Linked DNA regions of Macaca fascicularis. The protein of the gene in region 3 interacts with the protein of the main gene of each other region in a biochemical or structural test. Links are inferred from orthologs where the notes say so. Each region holds a gene or a part of one and is shown on either strand. Other genes may lie near its edges. The genes, in order: CSK, LCK and PTPRC.

Region 1 (6,357 bases), on a different chromosome or scaffold from region 3:
GCTTTTATGACATGGCACTTGTGTGGTCAACCTCCTCTTCTTGACCTTTTTTTTTTTTTTTTTTTGAGATGCATTTTCGCTCTTGTTGCCCAGGCTGGAGTGCAGTGGCATGATCTCGGCTCACTGCAACTTCTGCCTCCCTGGTTCAAGCAATTCTCCTGCCTCAGCCTCCTGAGTAGGTGGGATTACAGGTGTGCCCCACCACCCCTGGCTAATTTTATATTTTTAGTAGAGATGAGGTTTCACCATGTTGGTCAGGCTGGTCTCTAACTCCTGACCTCAAGTGATCCACTGGCCTTGGCCTCCCGAAGTGTTGGGATTACAGGTGTGAGCCACCGCGCCCGGCTTCTTTGCAGTTTCAAAGCTTCACTTAAAACTCAATGTGTGGCTGGGTGTGGTGGCTCACACCTGTAATCCCAACACTTTGGGAGGCTGAGGCAGGAGGACCGTTTGAGCCCAGGAGTTCAAGGCTAGCCTAGGCAACATAGGGAGACCTCGTCTCTACAAAAAATTTAAAAATTAGCCGATCATGGTGGCATGCACTTGTAGTCCCAGCTACTTGAGAGGCTGAGGCAGGAGGACTGCTTCAGCTTGGGAGGTCAAGGCTGTAGTGAGCTGTGTTTGCACCACTGGACTCTAGCCTGGGCGACAGAACGAGACCCTGTATCAAAATAACAAAAACCTTAACATGGTCTTAACAGAGCTCGTGATGCTCCCTCCTAAGCATGAGTCTCCCATCCTTGCTCAGCGGATGCCCCCTGCTGCCCTCCCTGCATCCGTTCTGCTCAGTCAGGCCTTGCTGTGGCCTCTCCCTCTCCTCCACCCTCACACAGAATCCATAGCCAAGTTCGGTCAATTTTAGCTCTGGGGCTAAATCTCTCTGGAGACCGTCTCTCATCTGGACCAGTCCTCACTGTACTTCCTGAAACTCCTCTACCAGTAGCTAGGGTGGTTTCAAAAACACGTATCTGGGCCGCGTGCAGTGGCTCACGCCTGTAATCCCAGCACTTTGGGAGGCCAAGGTGGTGGATCACTTGAGGTCAGGAGTTTGAGACCAGCCTGGGCAACACGGTGAAACCCCGTTTCCACTAAAAATACAAAAATTAGCCAGGCTGTGGTGGCGCATGCCTGTTGTAATCCCAGTAACTTGGGAGGCTGAGGTAGGACAATCGCTTGAACCCAGGAGATGGAGGTTGCAGTGAGCTGAGATGGCACCACTGTACTCCAGCCTGGGTGACAGAGTGAGACTTCATTTAAAAAAAAAAAAAGATTATCTGACATGTCACCCTCCTGATGAAACTTGTCGTTGGCTTCCCATTATTCTGTTTGATAAAAGCCAAGTCTTTGCCACAGCCACAGTCTCACCTCTCAGGCCTGGCTGTTTGTACATCCTCACCCACCTTCTTGGAGATCTGACAAAGCTGCCCTCCGTCCAGTCTCAGCATTTCTTCCTGGAATGCTGCTAACTCCTGCCGTACAACCTGTTCATTCCGCTTCAGATCTCAGCTTAAATGCTGCTTCTTTCCAGAAGCCCTCCCTGATCTACAAAGATTCCCATGTTTTGTGTTCCTCCTGTAGCACTTAAGTTTGTCACCGCCTATATGTGACTATTTGATTGTCTTCCCAACTGTGGACTCCACAGGGTGTGTTTTGCTTACTGATGAACCCCAGTCCTAGCAAACAGTAGGTATTCAAATATTTGTTGTTGAATGAATGGTGTAGTTTTAGAAAAATTAGTCTGGCAGTGTGCAGAGAAGATGGAGTGGAGGTGGCAAGGAGGCTGTTGCACTGGGCCAGGAGAGATCATGGTGGATGGAACTACAGCGGGGCTGAGGAACAGACACAAGGTAGACTTCAAAGTCAGATCTCCCTGGATTTCAGGTCCTGTTGGCTGGTAGAGGAAGCGTCAGGGCCACAAAAGGACAAGGGGAACACCCCACCTGCCTGCCTCAGGGAATACATGAAGCCTCCTCACACCTTCAGAGGTTCTGTACTGACCACTGCCCCTGGACAACCTGAGTGAGGGGAGAAAATCTCATGGCTGGTCCACATTCCCTGTATGTGCCCTGACAAGGTGGGGTGGGGAGTGAGTCCCCCTGACTGGAAGGTGCCAAGATTTCCCCTCTGCCCTGCATCCTCAGCCCCTGCCAAGTCTGGTATGACATAAGGCCTGGCACATGGCAGGGGTGGGGACAGGGCAAAGCTGTGACATCATGGGTAAAAGTAGAGAACCACCAGGAGCTTTCTTGTACCCCTCCGGGTCAGCATCTTCTCAGGCATAAGACGCTTCTCTTCCTACCAGAGGAAGCCCACTGGGCCCACCATTGCTTTTTCTCTCTCTCGCACAGGGGGCTTGACTAGAATCCCGTTCCCATCTGTGCAGGCCTGGGCTCCCTCCCATCCCTGGCTCTAGCCCTCCTTGTGCTGCAGGCTTGAACAACACACCAGGGGAGGCAGCTGGAACCCCCAGGCAGCATCCTGTGGACGGGGCTCCAGAGCTGGGCTCGGCGGTAGCTGGACAGTGGGGCGGGTGGTGAGCACTTCCCCGAGGGCAAACACAGGACACTCACTCGTGCAGCTGACACAAAGCGGCGGCTACATCTCCCGGCCATGCTCCCCACCCAGCCCCACTCACAGAGACAGGGGGATGGACAAGATGGCATGGGAGGGACGACCGGGCAGGACAGGCAGGCTCGGTGGAGGAAGCGCCGAGGCGGGCGGCGGTGTCCTCATGGCGTGGTTTATTACGATTCCATCTCACAAGGCGGGTGGGCGGGTGGCAGCGGCACACGAAATCCAAGCCCCTGACAGACGTCTGCCTCGGGCGCATGCAAACAGTGCAACATGGTCAAGCGCAAACACGGGGCGACCGAGGAGACACGGGACATGGGACACGGAATGGGGAATGAGGCTGGGGCGAGGGGTCCCTAGAGAGGGGCCCGGTCCCCCCCACCCTCATGGGCAGGACAGGAAAAATAAGATTCGTACTTCTTGTAAAATGCCCATTTGCTGGGTACTTTCTTTCTCCTTATCTTGAAAAATAATAAAAAATAAACACACGGAAAAAAAATCTCAAAAAAGGAAAGGAATAAAACTCTTAAGAAGGCGAGCGGCGGGAGGCCAAGGAAGCCCGACGTGGTGGGGCACTGCCTCCCGCTCCGTGGCCTCCTTCCTCCCTGGCCCCTCAGTGGGCTCCCCAGGCCCCACACGTGGGTCCAAGAGAGACGGGGCCGGAGGGATGCAGGCTGGGACACAGGAAAAAGGCCCACCAGCCCGCTGGGGCTCAGTTCAGGCTCGGGCCCAGTGAGCAGGGGCACCAGGTCCATGATCTTCCAGGTTCAGTCCCCACAGGCCCATGACCCGGGCGGAGGCCAGCCGTCACAGGTGCAGCTCATGGGTTTTGATGTGCTCAAGCTGCTCTCGGAGCTGTAGGAAGGATGGCCGCATGGCGGCGTCCAGGTGCCAGCAGTTCTTCATGACCTCATAGACTGCGGGCGGGCAGCCATCGGGGGCATCCATCTTGTAGCCCTTCTCCACCCGAGGGACGACGTCCTTCAGGGGCTGTGGCCAGGAGGATGGCAGGAGTCAGTCCAGGGCCTGGCCCCAGAGAAGACATCTACCCAGCAGCCTCTCAGGGATGCCCATCAGCTCTGCCCCAGACCCAGGCCCGGAGAGTGGCCTGTGAGCTCCCCAGGGCAGGCCTGAGGCTTCCAGGCCTTGACTGGGGAGGCAGGGCCCAAGGAGGCTCATGCCCCTGCCAACCCCTTCGTTGCTCCAAGAGCCACCCTGATCCCAGTACCTATACTCACAATTCTTGGATAAGGCACTCGCCCAAAGGAGTAGATTTCCCAGAGAAGGATTCCGAAACTCCACACGTCAGACTTAGTGGAGAATTTCTGCCATGTGGATGGAAAAAGCAGCGTCAGATCCTGGGACTCTAGGGGTGGGGAGCGACCCAGGACTCCTGCCCACCTCTGTAGGCCCCAGGGGAGGCCTGCCCCACCTTCTCTCTCAGGGCCTCAGGGGCTGTCCACTTGACTGGCAGCTTGCCCGTGTCCTGGGTGCTGGACGCCTCCTTGGTGAGACCAAAGTCGCTGACCTTGGCCACGTTGTCCTCAGACACCAGCACGTTGCGGGCAGCCAGGTCTCGATGCACGAAGTTGTTGCCCTCCAGGTATTCCATGGCCTCGCAGACATCTCTGGGGGTAGGCCAGGCACACGTCCCCTCAGACTGGGGCCCCCATAGCAGGGCAGGGTACCCCTCAAACCCTACCCATCCAAGAGGCTGCTTCACTCACAGCGAGAACTTGAGGAGACAGTCTCCGCCCAGCACTGACCGACCCCGAGACCGCAGGTAGTCCACGAGGCTCCCCTGGGAGAAGGAAGGACAAACCAGGCCCAGAGTCAGATGTGCCCTGCAGCCCTCTCACACAGCAGGCTGGGGCCGGGTGGGTGTTGACACTCCAAGGAGGTGTGAGACAGGGAAGGAGTGGGGAGGGGCCAGGACATCCGTGCTGGACACTGCTCTGTGTTATTCCTGCCTTATCCCTTGACTCTCACAAATCTCTGAGATAAGCTGTTATTATCTCCATTTCCCAGATGTGATGCTGAGGCTTGGAGGTGACATGATTTGTCCAAGGTTACAGTCAATAAACTGTAAACCAGGACAAAAGCCCAGCCCTGGTGACCTCAAAGGTCACTTGGGGTCGGGGAACCGAGGGAGCAGGGGCCCCAGAGCACAGTGGGGGTTTCGGGGCAGTTGGAAAACCCGAGTGCCGGGTCTCAGCAGGTGCCCACCTTGGCCATGTACTCAGTGACGATGTAGAGCCCGCCCTTCTCCTCCACGATCACGCCCAGGAGCTGCACCAGGTTGCTATGCCGCAGTTGCCTGGGGCAGGACGAGAGTGGTCAGAAAGGGGAAGCCAGAGCCTCACTCCTAGCTTAGGCCAACCTCCCCCCTACCCTGCCCCAACTCACGTCATGACTGAAGCTTCAGCCAGGAAGGCCTGGGCGGTGGCGTCATTCTTAATGCACTTGACAGCGACTTTGTTCCCTCGGTAATCGCCCAGCATCACGTCTGGGGGCAGAGAGGTTGGCTTGTTCCCAAGTTCTGAGTCCCTTGGCGCCCCCCCTCAGGCAGCCCAGCCCAGCTCACCTCCGAACTCCCCCTTCCCAATGGTCTGCAGTAGCTTCAGCTCCTTCATGTTCAGGGCCCAGCCACCTGTGGGGAGGGGCCAGTGAGGGCCTGGAGGCTGCTAGGGACATGGCTGGGATGACAGAGGCTGACTGGACTATCAAGCACATGGGGTTCTCTGGAGGTTCCTGGATAAGGGCAGTGCCAGGAAGCCTGCGTGGGAGGAGGTGGGTGGGCAAGAGGTCTGGAGTGGGGTGTACTCACTGCGGTAGAACTCATCCTGGGCCGCCACCGTGCCCTCCATGACCTTTGGTTTAATGAGGCGCGTACAGAGTCCATCTGCGTCTGAGGTGTAGTGCTGCAGGGTGTGGGCGGCAGGGTGCTCAGAGACAGCCCAAGGTGCCCCATATGCACCGTCCAGGCCTGACCACCAGGGGGCGGCAGAGGCCGGCCCCGCCCAGCCTGGAGTCACTGAGTGGGGAGGGCTCCCCATTTCTGGTAGGGCAGGGGTTAGGGAAGTCCCGGATTATGACGTATGGCCCATTTCCCATGCCACCCTACATGTGGCTGCTGGACACTCAGCTGTTGCTACCACTCTGGACCCCACAGGTATCCAATGCAGAGGGCAACCCATGGCTCGGTCCTGACACCAGCCTCTAGCCAGGAGAGCCCAGGACCCCACCCTCACCTGCCACAGGCCAAGCCAGGCCAGCAGGGGAGGAAGATGAGAGTAAATACAGAGGGACACGGGAGGCTGTCTGTGGCTACCGGATGCCAGGTGTGGCCTGGCCAGGACTGGCAGAGCGGGCCTGGGAAGCTGCAGGGACCCGTGGGCATGTCCATGCAGGTTGCGAGAGCCTCAGGGGCCCTGGCGATCAAGGCACATGGCTCATGCTTCTGCGCACACTTCTGGGTATGCAGGTCTGTGAGTGGCTGGAGGAAAGTTAGCTCTGGGATCAGACAGACTCAGAATCCAGTCCTGGCACTAAATTATAGCTGTGTGACCTCAGGTGGGTCCCCTAACTGCTCTGAACCGTCGACTCCTGGTCTATAAAATGAGGATAAGGCTCCCCTCCTCGGGGTGGCACTGTGGGGTCAGAGGTGAGTCCTGGCACACAGCAGCTGCTCCACCAAGGTGTGAGGAAACGAGGGCTCACAGAAGTTGCCCCACATGCCTGGTCACCAGGCAGAAGCAGTGGGGCTGGAGCTAGAAGCCAGGGCTA
Region 2 (7,194 bases), about 150 Mb from region 3:
CTGGATTCACGCCATTCTCCTGCCTCAGCCTCCCGAGTAGCTGGGACTATAGGCGCTTGCCACTACGCCCGGCTAATTTTTTGTATTCTGTAGTAGAGACGGGGTTTCACTGTGTTAGCCAGGATGGTCTCGATCTCCCGACCTCGTAATCCACCCGCCTCAGCCTCCTATAAGTGCTGGGATTACAGGCGTGAGCCACCGCGCCCAGCCTTCCCTAGTTTTAAAATGAGGCTGGTGAACTGTATTAGTGTTTCCTAAACTCTTGTGAAGACAAGGTGTCTTTTACCATTTCCTGTTCTGCACACCCTCTTCCCCACATGGATCTCATGATTTTAAAGTTTTTACCTACTAAGCTACCTCATTTAGATGCAAATTTTCTTATTTTCAAGTTAAAAAACAATTTAAATAGAGGAAGGGCCACACCACATTGTCCAGGCTGGTCTCAAACTCCTGGGCTCAATCAATCCTCTCTCCTCAGCCTCCCAAAGTGCTGGGATTACAGATGTGAGTCACTGCACCTGGCCTCAAGTTTAAATTTTAATCAAAGATTTGGCCAGGTACAGCAGCTCGGAGGAAGATTCTATTTTTTTTTTTTTTTTTTTTTTTTGAGATGGTGTCTTGCTCTGTCACCTAGGCTGGAGTGCAATGGCGTGATTTTGGCTCACTGCAACCTCCACCTCCCTGGTTCAAGCAATTCTCCTGCCCCAGCCTCTTGAGTAGCTGGGATTACAGAAGCGCGCCACCACACCCAGCTAATTTTTGTATTTTTAGTAGAGACGGGGTTTCACCATGTTGGCCAGGCTGGTCGTCTTGAACTTCTGACTCCAGGTGATTCACCCACCTTGGCCTCCCAAAGTGCTGGGATTACAGGCATGAGCCACCGTGCCCAGCCTGCTTTTTTTTTTTGAGACAGAGTCTCGCTCTGTTGTCCATGCTGGAATGCAGTGGCGTGATCTTGGCTCACTGCAACCTCTGCCTCCCGGGTTCAAGTGATTCTCCTGCCTCAGCCTCCTGAGTAGCTGGGATTATAGGTGCACGCCACCACAACTGATTAATTTTTGTATTTTTAGTAGAGATAGGGTTTCACCATGTTGGTCAGGCTGATCTTGAACACCTGACCTCGTGCTCCACCCGCCTCAGCCTCCCAAAGTGCTGGGATTACAGGCATGAGCCACCGTGCCCAGCCTGCTTTTTTTTTTTTTTTTTTTTTTTTTTCTGAGATGGAGTCTCGCTTTGTTGCCAGGCTGGAGTGCAGTGGCACAATCCTGGCTCACTGCAACCTCCGCCTCGCGGGTTCAAATTATTCTCCTGCCTCAGCCTCCTGAGTAGCTGAGATTACAGGCACCCACCACCATGCCCAATTAATTTTTGTATTTTTAGTAGAGACAGGGTTTCACCATGTTGGCCAGGATGGTCTTGATCTCTTGTGATCTGCCCACCTTGGCCTCTCAAAGTGCTAGGATTACAGGTGTGAGCCACCAAGTCCAGCCTTTTTTTTTTTTAGACAGGTTCTCGCTCTGTTATCCAGGCTGGAGTGCTGGAGTGCAGTGGCACAATCATAGCTCATCGCACTCTTGAGCTCCTGGGCTCAAGTGATCTTTTGCCTCAGCCTCCCGAGTAGCTGGAAGTACAGGCGTGCACCACCACACCTGGCTAATTTTTTGATTTTTTTCTAGAGGTGAGGTCTCACTATGTTGCCCAGGCTAGTCTGGAACTTCTGAGTTTGAATGATCCTACTGCCTCAGTCTCCCAAAGTGCTGGGATTACAGATGTGAGCCACCACGCCCAGCCAGCAACTCCAGGTTTGCTCTACTCCAAATAGGTTGTGTGACTTTAAGCATACCTCTGTGGGCCTCAGTTTGCTCATCTAAAATCAGAGGTTTAGCCAGGTATAGCAGCTCATGCCTGTAATCCCAGCACTTTGGGAGGCCAAGGAGGAAGGATCACTTGAGGCCAGGAGTTTGAGACCAGTCCGAGCAACATAGCAATACCCCCATCTCTAGAACAAACAAAAAATCACCTGGGCTCAGTGGTGCCAGCTACCCAGGAGGCTGAGGTTAGAGGATCACTTGAGCCCAGGAGTTTGAGTTTTCAGTGAGTTAGGATTGGGTCATTGCACTGCAGTCAGGGCAAAAAAGTGAGACATTATCTCAAAAATAGATCAACAAATAGTAAAATTGGAGATTAGGCTTGCTGGTTTCTAAGACCTTTGCAGATGGGAGACTCTGTGCATTAACACTCCACGTTCCAGTTGACATTTATTAACTAATTTTGGGTGCTGGAGGCTTTCAGACGAATAAACTACAGTTTCTGCTCTTGATGAACCCCCACTCTCATCAAAGGTATGGGAGAGGCAGTGGGACCTTGGGGTGACACGTGAATCAGTAATCGTGGAACTCTGTGCCTAAGTTGATTATTGAGGTCTGAATAGAATGTTGCAAGAGACTGGGGTGAGAGGGAAGCAAAGACCATTGGGAAGTCTTCACAGACTAGGTGATATTTAGGCTAGGTTCCTGTAATCCCAACACTTTGGGAGGCTGAGGCAGGAGGATTGCTTGAGGCCAGGAGTTCAAGACCAGCCTGGCCAACATGGTGAAACCCTGCCTCTACTAAAATTACAAGTTAGCCAAGCATGATGGTGCATGCCTGTGATCCCAGCTATCAGGAGGCTGAGGGAGGAGAATTGTTTGAACCTGGAAGGTAGAAGTTGCAGGAAAAAAAAAAAAAAAGGGTAATATTTGAACTGAGCCTTGAAGGTTGAGTTAGAATTCAGCAGGTGGACAAAAGAGAGCATGCCGACTGGGTTCAGTGGTGCATGCCTATAATCCTAGCATTTTGGGAGGCCAATGCAGGAGGATTGCTTGAGCCCAGGAGTTCGAGACCAGACTGGGCAACATAGTGAGACCTCATCTCTACAAAAAAGTAATCAGCTGGGCATGATGGTGTGCACCTTTAGTCTTAGCTGCTGGGGAGGTTGAGGTGGGAAGACTGCTTGAGCCCAGGGGGTCTAAGGGGATTGCACGACTGCACTTCAGCCTGGGCAAGGAAGGGGGACCCTGTCTCGAGAGAGAGAGAGAAAGAGAGAGAGAAAGAGGGCACATTTCACAGCAGAGGGATCCACAAGTACAAAGGCATTAAGTAAGAAAATAGCGGCCGGGTGCGGTGGCTCAAGCCTGTAATCCTAGCACTTCGAGAAGCCGAGACGGGCGGATCACGAGGTCAGGAGATTGAGAACATCCTGGCTAACACGGTGAAACCCCGTCTCTACTAAAAAATACAAAAAACTAGCTGGGCGAGGTGGCAGGCGCCTGTAGTCCCAGCTACTCGGGAGGCTGAGGCAGGAGAATGGCGTAAACCCGGGAGGTGGAGCTTGCAGTGAGCTGAGATCCGGCCACTGCACTCCAGCCTGGGCGACACGGTGAGACTCCATCTCAAAAAAAAAAAGAAAAAAAAGAAAATAGCATGGGGTGTCTGGGAAAGGCAAGAATAGTTCAGAACACAGGCTGTGTGTGGAGGTGTGTGTGGGGGTGCCTGTGTGTGGGTGTGTTTGTGTGTGTGAGTGTGGGTGTGTGGGGGTATGTATGGAGGAGATGCCTGTGCATGTGTGTGAGTGTATGTGGGGGTGAGTGTGTGGGTGTGTGCATGGGTGTGGGTATGTGGAGGTGCCTGTGTGTGTGTATGAATGTGTGTGTGGGGGTCATGTGTGTGGGTGTGGGTGCCTGTGTGTGTGTGTGTATGTGGGTGTGTTTGTGGGTGTGACTGTGTGGGTGTGTGGATGAGTGTGTGTTTGTGGGTGTGGGTGCCTGTGTGTGTGGGGAATATGTGTAGAGTGTGTGTGTGAATGTGTGTGTGTGAGGGTGGGTGCCTGTGTGTGTGGGGGGGCACTTTTGGGGGGTGAGAGTATGTGTTTATTGAGTGTGAGTGTGGGTGCCTGTGTGTGGGAGGGTGAGTCTGTGTGTGAGTGTGGGGGGGTACCTGTGAGGGGTGAGTGTGTGTGTATGTGAAAGTGTGTGTGGATGCCTCTGTGGAGGTGGGATGGGGGTGCCTCTGTGTGTGTGTGTGTAGGGTGTGTGTATATATAGGGTGTGTGTGAGTGTGTGTGTGTGAGAGAGTGTGTGTGTAGCAGAATGGACTGCGAAGGTGGATTTGATCTTGAAGTTCTGGAATGCACGGTACATCAAACTTTATTTGAGGACAGCGCTTTCCAACCGCTCTGAGGAGCAGCCCTAGACAAGGAGGAGCTGCAGGGACTCCGGGGGCTTCAAAGTGAGGGCCCCATTCTGCTTCAGACAAAACAGGCCCACACACTTATCGCTTTATCTATGGAGTTCTGCTTGATTTCATCAGACAAAAAATTTCCAGTGCTAACACAGGCAAATAAGCGACAAAAAAAAGTTATGGCCAACAGACTGACTGGAGGGTTTTCTGCTGGGGAGAAGCACGCCTGTGTTTGAAGGAACCCTGTGAGGTGACTGTGGGGCTATGTGAGAGGAACAGCGGGGTCCTGATGGTGGACTTAGGGAGCAGAAGCCTCTTTCTCAGCCTCCTCAGCTAGACAGGGGAATTATAATAGTAGGTGGGGCGTGCACACCTCTCCAGTAGGGGAGGGTCTGATAAGTCAGGTCTCCCCCAGGCTTGGGAAAGTGTGTGTCATCTCTAGGAGGTGGTCCTCCCAACACAGGGTGCCGGCAGAGGGAGAGGGAGGGGGCAGAGGCAGGAAGTGGGTAACTAGACTAACAAAGGTGCCTGTGGCGGTTTGCCCATCCCAGGTGGGAGGGTGGGGCTAGAGCTCAGGGGCCGTGTGTGAATTTACTTGCAGCCTGAGGGCTCAGAGGGAGCAACGGTTTGGAGCTGGGACCCCCTCTTTTAGCTTTTCTGTGGCTGGTGAATGGAGATCCCAAGATCTCACAATCTCAGGTACTTTTGGAACTTTCCAGGGCAAGGCCCCATGATGTCTGATGTTGGGGAGCAGATCTTGGGGGAGCCCCTTCAGCCCCCTCTCCATTCCCTCAGGGACCATGGGCTGTGGCTGCAGCTCACACCCGGAAGATGACTGGATGGAAAACATCGATGTGTGTGAGAACTGCCATTATCCCATAGTCCCACTGGATGGCAAGGGCACGGTAAGAGGCGAGACAGGGGCCTTGGTGAGGGAGTTGGGTAGAGCATGCAACCCAGGAGAAAGAAATGACTCTCCTAAGATCACACAGCAAGTAGCTGGTAGACTCAGGGATACACCCAACCAGGCTGGAGAGACTGAGAGCAGGGCAGGGGGGAAGGGGGCCAGAGTCTAACCCAGTCTTCTGCTTTCTGACCCCACCCTCATCCCCTACTCCACAGCTGCTCATCAGAAATGGCTCTGAGGTGCGGGACCCACTGGTCACCTACGAAGGCTCCAATCCGCCGGCCTCCCCACTGCAAGGTGACCCCAGGCAGCAGGGCCTGAAAGACAAGGCCTGCCGATCCCTGGCTGTTGGCTTCCACCTCACCCCCACCTACTCTCTCCCCGGTCCTGCCTTCCTTGTCCCCCGCCCTGTAACTCCAGGCTTTCTGCCCATCCCAGCCCGGTTCTCCCTGATGCCCCTTGTTTTTACAGACAACCTGGTTATCGCCCTGCACAGCTATGAGCCCTCTCACGACGGAGACCTGGGCTTTGAGAAGGGGGAGCAGCTCCGCATCCTGGAGCAGTGAGTCCCTCTCCACCTTGCTCTGGAGGAGTCCGTGAGGGAGCGCGATCTCCGGGACCGCAGCCCTCCTGAGGCCACCGGTTGGGGTGGCCGCCCTTGGGACAAAATTCAAGGCTCAGGACTGCTGAGCCAGGGTTCGGCGAGGCTGGCTTAAGGGGTGGAGGGGTCTTTGAGGGAGGGTCTCAGGTCGACGGCTGAGCTAGCCACACTGATCCGCCTCCGTGGCGCAGGAGCGGCGAGTGGTGGAAGGCGCAGTCCCTGACCACAGGCCAGGAAGGCTTCATCCCCTTCAATTTTGTGGCCAAGGCGAACAGCCTGGAGCCCGAACCGTAAGTGGGGACCCGTCGTGGGGGTGAGCGGGAGCAGATCTAGGGATCCTGGAGCAGGGAGTGGGCCTGGGGTGGCGGTGAAGGCTTGAGGGCCACGGAGGAATATCCGACGACAGCCTTCGTTCGCTTCCGCCGTGCACAGCTGGTTCTTCAAGAACCTGAGCCGCAAGGACGCGGAGCGGCAGCTCCTGGCGCCCGGGAACACTCACGGCTCCTTCCTCATCCGGGAGAGCGAGAGCACCGCGGGTGAGCGGGCAGTGGTCTCGACCGGGCGCGGGGGTGCCGCAGGGTGTGCCCGAGGTGGGGGCGCGGGATGAGCCCGAGGGGGGCGCGGGGTGAGTCCGAGGGGAAGCACAGGGTGAGCCCGAGGTGGGGACGCGGAGTGAGCCCGATGGGGACGCGGGGTGAGTCCGAGGGGGAGCGCAGGGTGAGGTCGAGGTGGGGACGCGGAGTGAGCCCGATGGGGACACGGGGTGAGTCCGAGGGGGAGCGCAGGGTGAGCCCGAGGTGGGGACGCGGGGTGAGCCCGAGGGGGGCGCGGTGGCGGGCCAGACTCACTGCGTTCTTTAGTCCCTTTGTCCATCCATTCATTCATTCAGGATCGTTTTCACTGTCGGTCCGGGACTTCGACCAGAACCAGGGAGAGGTGGTGAAACATTACAAAATCCGTAATCTGGACAACGGTGGCTTCTACATCTCCCCCCGAATCACTTTTCCCGGCCTGCATGAACTGGTCCGCCATTACACCAGTGAGCCCGGCAGGACCCCTCCCCCGTGCCCTATCAGCCTATCTCCCCTCAGTCCCCCTCGGGTGTCCCCCATCCATCTTTCAATGCGCTCCTCCATTCCCCGCAGTGGGTGAGGTGTGGAACTTGACCCTACGGACCCAAGTGTTTGGGTGACAGCCCCACACCCCCCTGCTAGTCCACTTCACCTAGATAGGAGCTTGGAGAAGTGGGGGAAGTGGTGTCAATACGAGGCCTGCCATATTGACAGTCTTCACCCCTCCCTTGTCCTCGCAGATGCTTCAGATGGGCTGTGCACACGGCTGAGCCGCCCCTGCCAGACCCAGAAGCCCCAGAAGCCATGGTGGGAGGACGAGTGGGAGGTTCCCAGGGAGACGCTGAAGCTGGTGGAGCGGCTGGGGGCTGGACAGTTCGGGGAGGTGTGGATGGGTG
Region 3 (7,194 bases):
TCAGTTTTGTTTCGAGTATTAAGTTCTTGTGAAGCTAAAACAGTGAAATTTACTGAACTTATAACAACACTGCAAAGAAACAGGAATCAAGTTTAATTAATCAGAAACAGACATATATTTGTATGTTAAAAGTTTTAGTTTTCTACAGGTATGAAAAATTTAAATAAAAGTTAATACTGATTAAAATAGAGAACTCTCTGTTTAGTCATGAGGCAGATATACGTGGCTTTTCAAAATGCCATTCAACACTTTATTTTCCTAACCCCAAGATCCACACTATGAATCTTCTTTGTTCTTACCCTGTTTCCTTCTTCACATCGAGTGACCATGACAATAACTGTGGCTTTCTGTTCCCAAATCATCCTCCAGAAATCATCAACGGTTTCATCCCTGGGACCTAGGAGGTAAACAAATAAAAGTTGATAAGAAATGTTTTCTTAAAAGTGCTATAAAATAATTTTTCAAAAAGAATATTGGATTATCAAAGAAATTACCTTGTGCAGCAATGTATTTCCTGGGTTCTTTGAAACCCTATTGAAAACACATGCAAAGATATGTCATTTGCTGAACATTCAATTACTCATTAACATGAAAAATTGTGAGTTAGAGGAATTGCCTTAGATCCATCATTTTGTGATTGTGAATTTCTCTGGGCAGTTTCAAAGTATTAAGGGGATCTTATTAATTGGTGGTCAGGCATTTAATTTGCTCAACATGTTAGCATTTGCAAAGAATATTCATGACTTTCATGTATCTTTGCTGTAAACTTCAAGCAATTTTAACACTAGGCTTCATCTTCATCTGGGATGTTGTTATAATTTACAAAAGTGCTCTAGACATTTCAACATTTTATATCCTGCCAACTCTTATAGGATCATCTGCCACTGTTTAAACCTGCTCACCAGCCATGCAGTTACTTTTGGGATTTTTACTCAATTTCTTTCAACAAATCATTCTTGGATTTTACCCGCATTTTCACCTCTTAATTTCTGCTGGAATATGATGATTCCCTAGACTTCTCTGCCATTTCGGATAAGAGATATAATAACTTTCATTTCATTACCTACAATGTCTGCTTTCTCTGCTCCTGTTACCAAGATAAAGGAGTACAGAGGCAGATAAAATATTATACTGGCTTCTTCCAGAATTATCTCAGACTCCTAAATTCACCTCAGCAATGAAAGGAGCTCTTCAGAAAGAGATGGCCTTTACCATTGGATTAAATTTGAAACATGGGTCACAAGAATTCAACATTAATTTAAGTAACTTCCTGAAACTTCTATCTCATGACACAGTATTGCGCATACATTCATTTACTTAATAAGTATTTATTGAATAGCTACAATATGTTAATCACCTATCTAAAAGCAGAAGACATATGCTTTCTGGGAGCTCCAAGTTCCAATGGAGAAACATAAGTAACCTGATACCATAATTACCATATATATTTGAATAGAAAATATAGTTGCTTCTGGTAGGTGAGGACACTGGGAAAATGGCAGATTTGGGGAGAAAAAAAGATTTTTTCAGTCTGTATATATTTTTATACTGTTTAAAATTATTTAACCTATATAATGGATTAATTATTTAACATTTGTATAATAAATTAAATTTTAAGATATTTTAAATAAATTAACCACGTACAGACATTTACATTTCTGCATAAATCCAGTGGACAGATGATCTGTGTTGATGAGGAGTGTCTGCTGAAATTTAGTATGATTAAATTAACGGATAACATTTTGGAGTCAGTCAGACTCTGGTTGAATTTCAACTCAAGTATTTACCAGTTGTGTGAACAAGGACAAGGTAATTAACTAAACTGAGCCTTCCAGTCCTCACTTATATGGCACATGGCTGAGGCAAATGTGGGCTTCTTTTGAGAAATACATGTATAGATTATTTAGTCTAATATCTAGCACACAAGAGGTACCAGAGTACATTAAATTAATTCTTAATATAATTTTGTTTGTAGAGGAAAATTCTGTTATACCCAATACCAATAGTCACATAATAAATATCCTTGCAAATATTAATAATTTTCTGTTTTTATCAGTGACATATGGGCTCACTTCAAAATATTTTTAATAATATTTCTAAAATTTTGCCGAGACAAAGAAGGAGCTGAATGAAATATACAGGAATAAGAAAAATGCAAATTTTGGCCGGGCGCGGTGGCTCACGCCTGTAATCCCAGCACTTTGGGAGGCCGAGGCAGGCGGATCACAAGGTCAGGAGATCAGGAGATCGAGACCACGGTGAAACCCCGTCCCTACTAAAAATACAAAAAATTAGCTGGGCGCGGTGGCGGGCGCCTGTAGTCCCAGCTGCTCGGGAGGCTGAGGCAGGAGAATGGCGTGAGCCCGGGAGGTGGAGCTTGCAGTGAGCCGAGATCACGCCAGTGCACTCCAGCCTGGGCGACAGAGCGAGACTCCGTCTCAAAAAAAAAAAAAAAAAGGAAAAATGCAAATTTTTACTCACATCAATATAGCTGGCATTTATGTAGTTTGACCCTGCATCTCCATTTATCTCAGAGAGTTCAACACGGTTATAATCATCTGTTTAAGGAAAAGAAAAATAAACAAGTAAAATAATGAATAATCAAGTGGCCTAAATATATGGGAATTCAATACTCGGTAAGTACTCACAAGGAAGAATGTCAACATAACGGTTTTTATTCTGGTTAAAGGGCTTTCGAGCTTCCTTTATAGGAAACTTGCTGAACACCCGCGGGATGCTCTGAAAGAAACAATGATTTCTTGGATCACAGAAGATTCAGGAAAAATGATCGTTTTGAGCAAATGAGATATCCTGTAAAACATTTTCCTCATATTGCTAAAAAAAATTTGCTTAGAGTAATTGAAATTAAGATCAGGAATTATGTAAAAATAAAATCACTTTTTTAAAAAAAATTAATGATTGACAACTTTCAGAACAAATCTCTTGAGTAGGGACAAATTTAGGATTAGTTGTTGTGTCACTATCAAATTCATTTAAAAACAGATACTTGGATGAGTACCTAGAGTACAACTACAAAATCAGCCAAATACATTTTGTGACACAACTTCATAATACAATAAAGCATTACATTGAAATATTTACTAGCTCCACACTATAATCTCGTCAACCTCTATGAGTCTCCTTCTGGTTCATAGATATCTGCTAATAATATCTATTTTGCTTATGTTGCAATATCAAGTGGGATAAATTATGAAGGCAAATTGCAATATAAATACATTTAAAGTGGAATTGTCTTGATGTTGAATTTATCATATAACAAAAGCAACACACACCTGAAATTCAGCCAGAAAAAGTCTTCCTTCATCAGCAATCTTCCTCTTATAAGTTTCCAACAAAATATCTGCATGGATTGGCTCCACATTCATCAGTTGTTTTTCATCATCTGGAAACATATTAAAGATTCAGTACTAGTTATATGTGTCTTTCAGGTGGGCATACACATTTCATTAAATTTACACCGTGTACTCAATCCTTTAGCTTCTTTCCTCTTCGTATACATTTCATCTGAGAAATCTCACTCACATCCAAACATTTACCTACAAATCAATGACTGCTCAATCTTGTACTTCAGATCTCTTCCGGGCTTTATATTGTTCCCTCTACCAGAATGTTCTTCCCCATTTTCTATGCTTAGAGAAGGGATGCCAGACTAAACATCACCATTATAAGGACATTCACATTTGTTTGATAATATGTATTTTATAGCAATTGCCATACTTATTTATTTATAATACAATTATTATTTTTCTTTGTATTGTTTTCATTTTCAACTTGTAAAATGCTGTAAACATGCAAATGAAATAAGACAATATGATTAATACCCTTATACCCATGACACAGCTTAATTTGATCATCTGTTTACACTAAACGGTGAAACAGTTGTGTTAATTCGTTTTGCTTCAAGTACATGAAACACATGATATACTATGTTTGTGAAATAACTTACTAAATAGTAAAAGTATACTAACCATAAAAAGCTATAATTGCATATGGAACTTGAAAACCAAACCCTTTAGAAAGGTAAGATAATTTAATCTGTCACATATATAAAAAGTATGTTTCTCCCACTCTTCCATGTACTACTGATAGTATTTCTTTCAGTAATCATATTAATTTTACCCATTTAACAGATAAAGAAAAAAGGTATCCATGAGGGCAACCCATTTGTCTTACTACCCATGGAAACTTTCTATCCAATCACAGCTATCAAACTGGCTATATGCAATTGTTTCTTTAGGTTGTTGGGAATGCCTGGTATTCATTCATTCTGAACTGAGGGCCACATTCAGGGTTTCATGGGGTCTGAATGAGTAAATTCTACTGCATTCCAAGGTGCAATCAGAATCAATTTTGAGATAAAATATTTCATTGACACTTTCCAAGTCCACCTTAACTCCTTGAGATGGATTTTCCTTTTCTGCTCAGGTGTTTATTACTGATTGTGCTCTTCATTCCTCCCTCAGCTTATGAAAATGAATCCTCAGGATACCCTATCTCAGTGTTATTTATTCACTAATATTTATCAAATCCTAGATACTCACTTTGGTACTGGGCATAAAGCAGTAAATAAGAAAAAAAGCCTCCATGCTTTCACAAAGCTTACATTCTAGTTAGGGGAGTATAATCAACAACCAAATGAATAAATATGTAATAAGGGGTCAGATAGTGTTACATTCTGCAAATAAAAATAAAGCCTTTTAAGGAGCACAAAAGATTCAACCCTAAAGTTTCTGCATAGAGACCTGGTACCTGCTATTACCAGAGGGAAACACTTCTAACACAGATTAACACAAAGGACTTCTGAAATTATTCCTGTCTTAAGCATGAGAAAGCAAGTAAATTTCTTTATTGTAAACAAAAGTTCAATTTCTGCAAAGGTTCAACTTTGTCCCTTTTTATTGGATTAGAAATCACATTTTAAAAAAATTAAATAATATAAATGTTGAAAAAAAAGATAAACAAATTTGTTTTCTTCTCCTAAGTAAAATTGCTGTTCTTTATCCTGTCCATAAATGCGTCTTTAGTGGGAGCAGCCAGCATTCCACCCCGGCAGGGACTTGAGGAGATGTACCATCTCCCCATCTCTGTGACTTCCATCCACTCTTCCCTCCACCACTCCCTAATTTGTTGGTCCATTGGTTCCCCACAATCTTAACAGACCAGATTTCCGCCCTCGCACACAGTTTTCTATCTTCTATATATGTATAGAATCATACACATTCAACTACTAGGGCATGTATCAAATTACCGTCGTATTTCTTGATATATCTGCTTTCCTCTATTAGATTACAAACCCTTTAAGGGCAGAGTCTGTGCCTGTCACTGTAGTACTCTCAGTACCTGGCACAATGCTTGGCGTACACTGGGAACTTCACAGGTGCTGAGTGAGTAAAGGAATTTAAGTTTTATCACTGTATCAACAGAAGTCCAAGTTAAATTAAAAATGCCCGGTTCTTATTTAAAATGAATGGGACTGGGCACAGTGGTTCATGCCTGTAATCCCAGCACTTTGGGAGGCCAAGGTGGGCGGATTACTTGAGGCCAGGAGTTCGAAACCAGTATGGGCAACATGGTGATATCCCATCTCTACTAAAAATACAAAAATTAGCTGGGCCTGGTGCTTTGTGTCTGTAATCCCAGATACTTGGGAAGCTGAGGCACAAGAGAATTGCTTGAACCTGGAGGCAGAGGCTGCAGTAAGCAGAGATTACACCACCACACTTCAGCCTGGGCGACAGAATGAGACTCTGTCTTAAAATAAATATAAATAAATAAATGAAATAAAATGAATGGATTCAAATGCAGGGGAAGGAATATTCATCAGCAAAAAATATGCATACTTACCCCTTTCAACAAGCTCCTGTTGTTCATCCAAATTGCTGTGAAAACAGGAAAAATAAGTTTCTATATTCTCAAGAAGCACAGAATTCAGTTGGTATTTAACTTATATTTAATGAATACATTGAAGGGAAAGGAAGGAAGTCAGGGAGAAGAAAAGGAGAAGAGAGGAAAGGAGAAGAGGAAAGGAGGGAAGGCAGGAAGAGAGCCTGGAGCAAAGGGAGGACAGAAGGATGGGAGAGAGGAGAGTCAGAGAGGAGAGAGGAGGGTGAGGGAGGAAAAGAAACAACCAAGACTTGTTTGCTAAACTCACATAAGTAGCCAAATGATTTTATTTTAAATCTTCTGTTTTTCATAAGATGTGGTTGTTTCTGGCCAACGAAACACATTAACTTCCCCAGACATCTACCTCCTTTCTTTTGCTTTCGTCACTCCTAGATCCCTCTGACCCACTTTGTACTAAAAAACACACACGTTCTTTTCACTGGTTATTATTAAACAAGTCCACAATATTATTAGTAAATTAGGAAAATAACATTAATGTTTAATTCAAACCAATAAAACCATACTAAAAGTTTTTGATTAAAAGTTCCGTCATGAAGTGGGCTTTATGCTGTCTTCTCTCTAGTTCATGTATTTCATTTAACTGGTTCCCTCACTGCCATATGGATATGTGTTTGCACCATTACTACTACCATTATTATTTGAAAATTCATAATCAACTCTTACCAGGATCTTTTCTTATGTAGATCATAGATTTTATAGAGAACAACAAGTAGGGCTATTGATGTCACAATAATCAGAAATGCCAGAAATGCTATCAGTGCCTTAGAATTATCTAGAAATGAAAAATAATACATTCAGAGAACCATTGTCAAACAACTTGCTAGACTGGTTGAATAATCACCTCCAAAGTATTTACATTTTAATATTTTTCAATTTATTGTGAGGTTTGAAAAAATAAACATTTTAGAATAAGGTCAAATACAATAAAGTTCTAATTCTGTGATTTTGGCCATATTGTTTAGAACCAATAAAAACATTTTATATTTAAGGAGAGTAAGAAGAGAAGAACAATTCTCTTTCTCTTGATTAAATAAAGTTCTTTTATAAGACACATTTAAATTTAATTCTCTTTTTTCCAGACACTTCAGTTTGAAGGGATCAAGGAGGTAATCCAGTTATTATAATTTTTGGAGACAAACTCATATAGTTTAACTTCGTATGCAGAAGAGGGTAGTCTCTTAAGGGGATGAGAAAGACTTCTACTTCACAAAGATAAACCCTCTTACCTGTTCATTGAGGTGTAAAATCAATTCAAGAGACAAAAATGGT

What was found.
Region 1: of the proteins of PTPRC (region 3) and CSK, one has a biochemical effect on the other in vitro, tested with the Homo sapiens proteins (2 studies listed by IntAct). The link is inferred for Macaca fascicularis from reciprocal best matches to the Homo sapiens genes PTPRC and CSK.
Region 2: of the proteins of PTPRC (region 3) and LCK, one has a biochemical effect on the other in vitro, tested with the Homo sapiens proteins (5 studies listed by BioGRID and IntAct, with this or other methods). The link is inferred for Macaca fascicularis from reciprocal best matches to the Homo sapiens genes PTPRC and LCK.

The regions. Positions count from the first base shown.
Region 1 is NC_088381.1:51,921,492-51,927,848, reverse strand, and holds the end of CSK (tyrosine-protein kinase CSK), read right to left. Parts: intron 5,493-6,357; coding exon 5,399-5,492; intron 5,222-5,398; coding exon 5,156-5,221; intron 5,078-5,155; coding exon 4,978-5,077; intron 4,889-4,977; coding exon 4,798-4,888; intron 4,373-4,797; coding exon 4,299-4,372; intron 4,200-4,298; coding exon 4,004-4,199; intron 3,897-4,003; coding exon 3,810-3,896; intron 3,562-3,809; coding exon 3,379-3,561; 3' UTR 2,720-3,378; downstream 1-2,719. UniProt on the Homo sapiens protein: Non-receptor tyrosine-protein kinase that plays an important role in the regulation of cell growth, differentiation, migration and immune response.
Region 2 is NC_088375.1:202,751,727-202,758,920, reverse strand, and holds part of LCK (tyrosine-protein kinase Lck), read left to right. Parts: intron 1-4,830; exon of another isoform or gene 4,831-4,888; coding exon of another isoform or gene 4,889-4,917; exon of another isoform or gene 4,918-4,937; 5' UTR 4,938-4,958; coding exon 4,959-5,123; intron 5,124-5,340; coding exon 5,341-5,687; intron 5,688-5,917; coding exon 5,918-6,016; intron 6,017-6,158; coding exon 6,159-6,262; intron 6,263-6,615; coding exon 6,616-6,765; intron 6,766-7,038; coding exon 7,039-7,191; intron 7,192-7,194. UniProt on the Homo sapiens protein: Non-receptor tyrosine-protein kinase that plays an essential role in the selection and maturation of developing T-cells in the thymus and in the function of mature T-cells. Plays a key role in T-cell antigen receptor (TCR)-linked signal transduction pathways.
Region 3 is NC_088375.1:56,453,949-56,461,142, reverse strand, and holds part of PTPRC (receptor-type tyrosine-protein phosphatase C), read right to left. Parts: intron 6,698-7,194; coding exon 6,589-6,697; intron 6,278-6,588; exon of another isoform or gene 6,173-6,277; intron 5,901-6,172; coding exon 5,866-5,900; intron 3,404-5,865; coding exon 3,294-3,403; intron 2,740-3,293; coding exon 2,649-2,739; intron 2,559-2,648; coding exon 2,482-2,558; intron 532-2,481; coding exon 495-531; intron 398-494; coding exon 300-397; intron 1-299. UniProt on the Homo sapiens protein: Protein tyrosine-protein phosphatase required for T-cell activation through the antigen receptor. Acts as a positive regulator of T-cell coactivation upon binding to DPP4.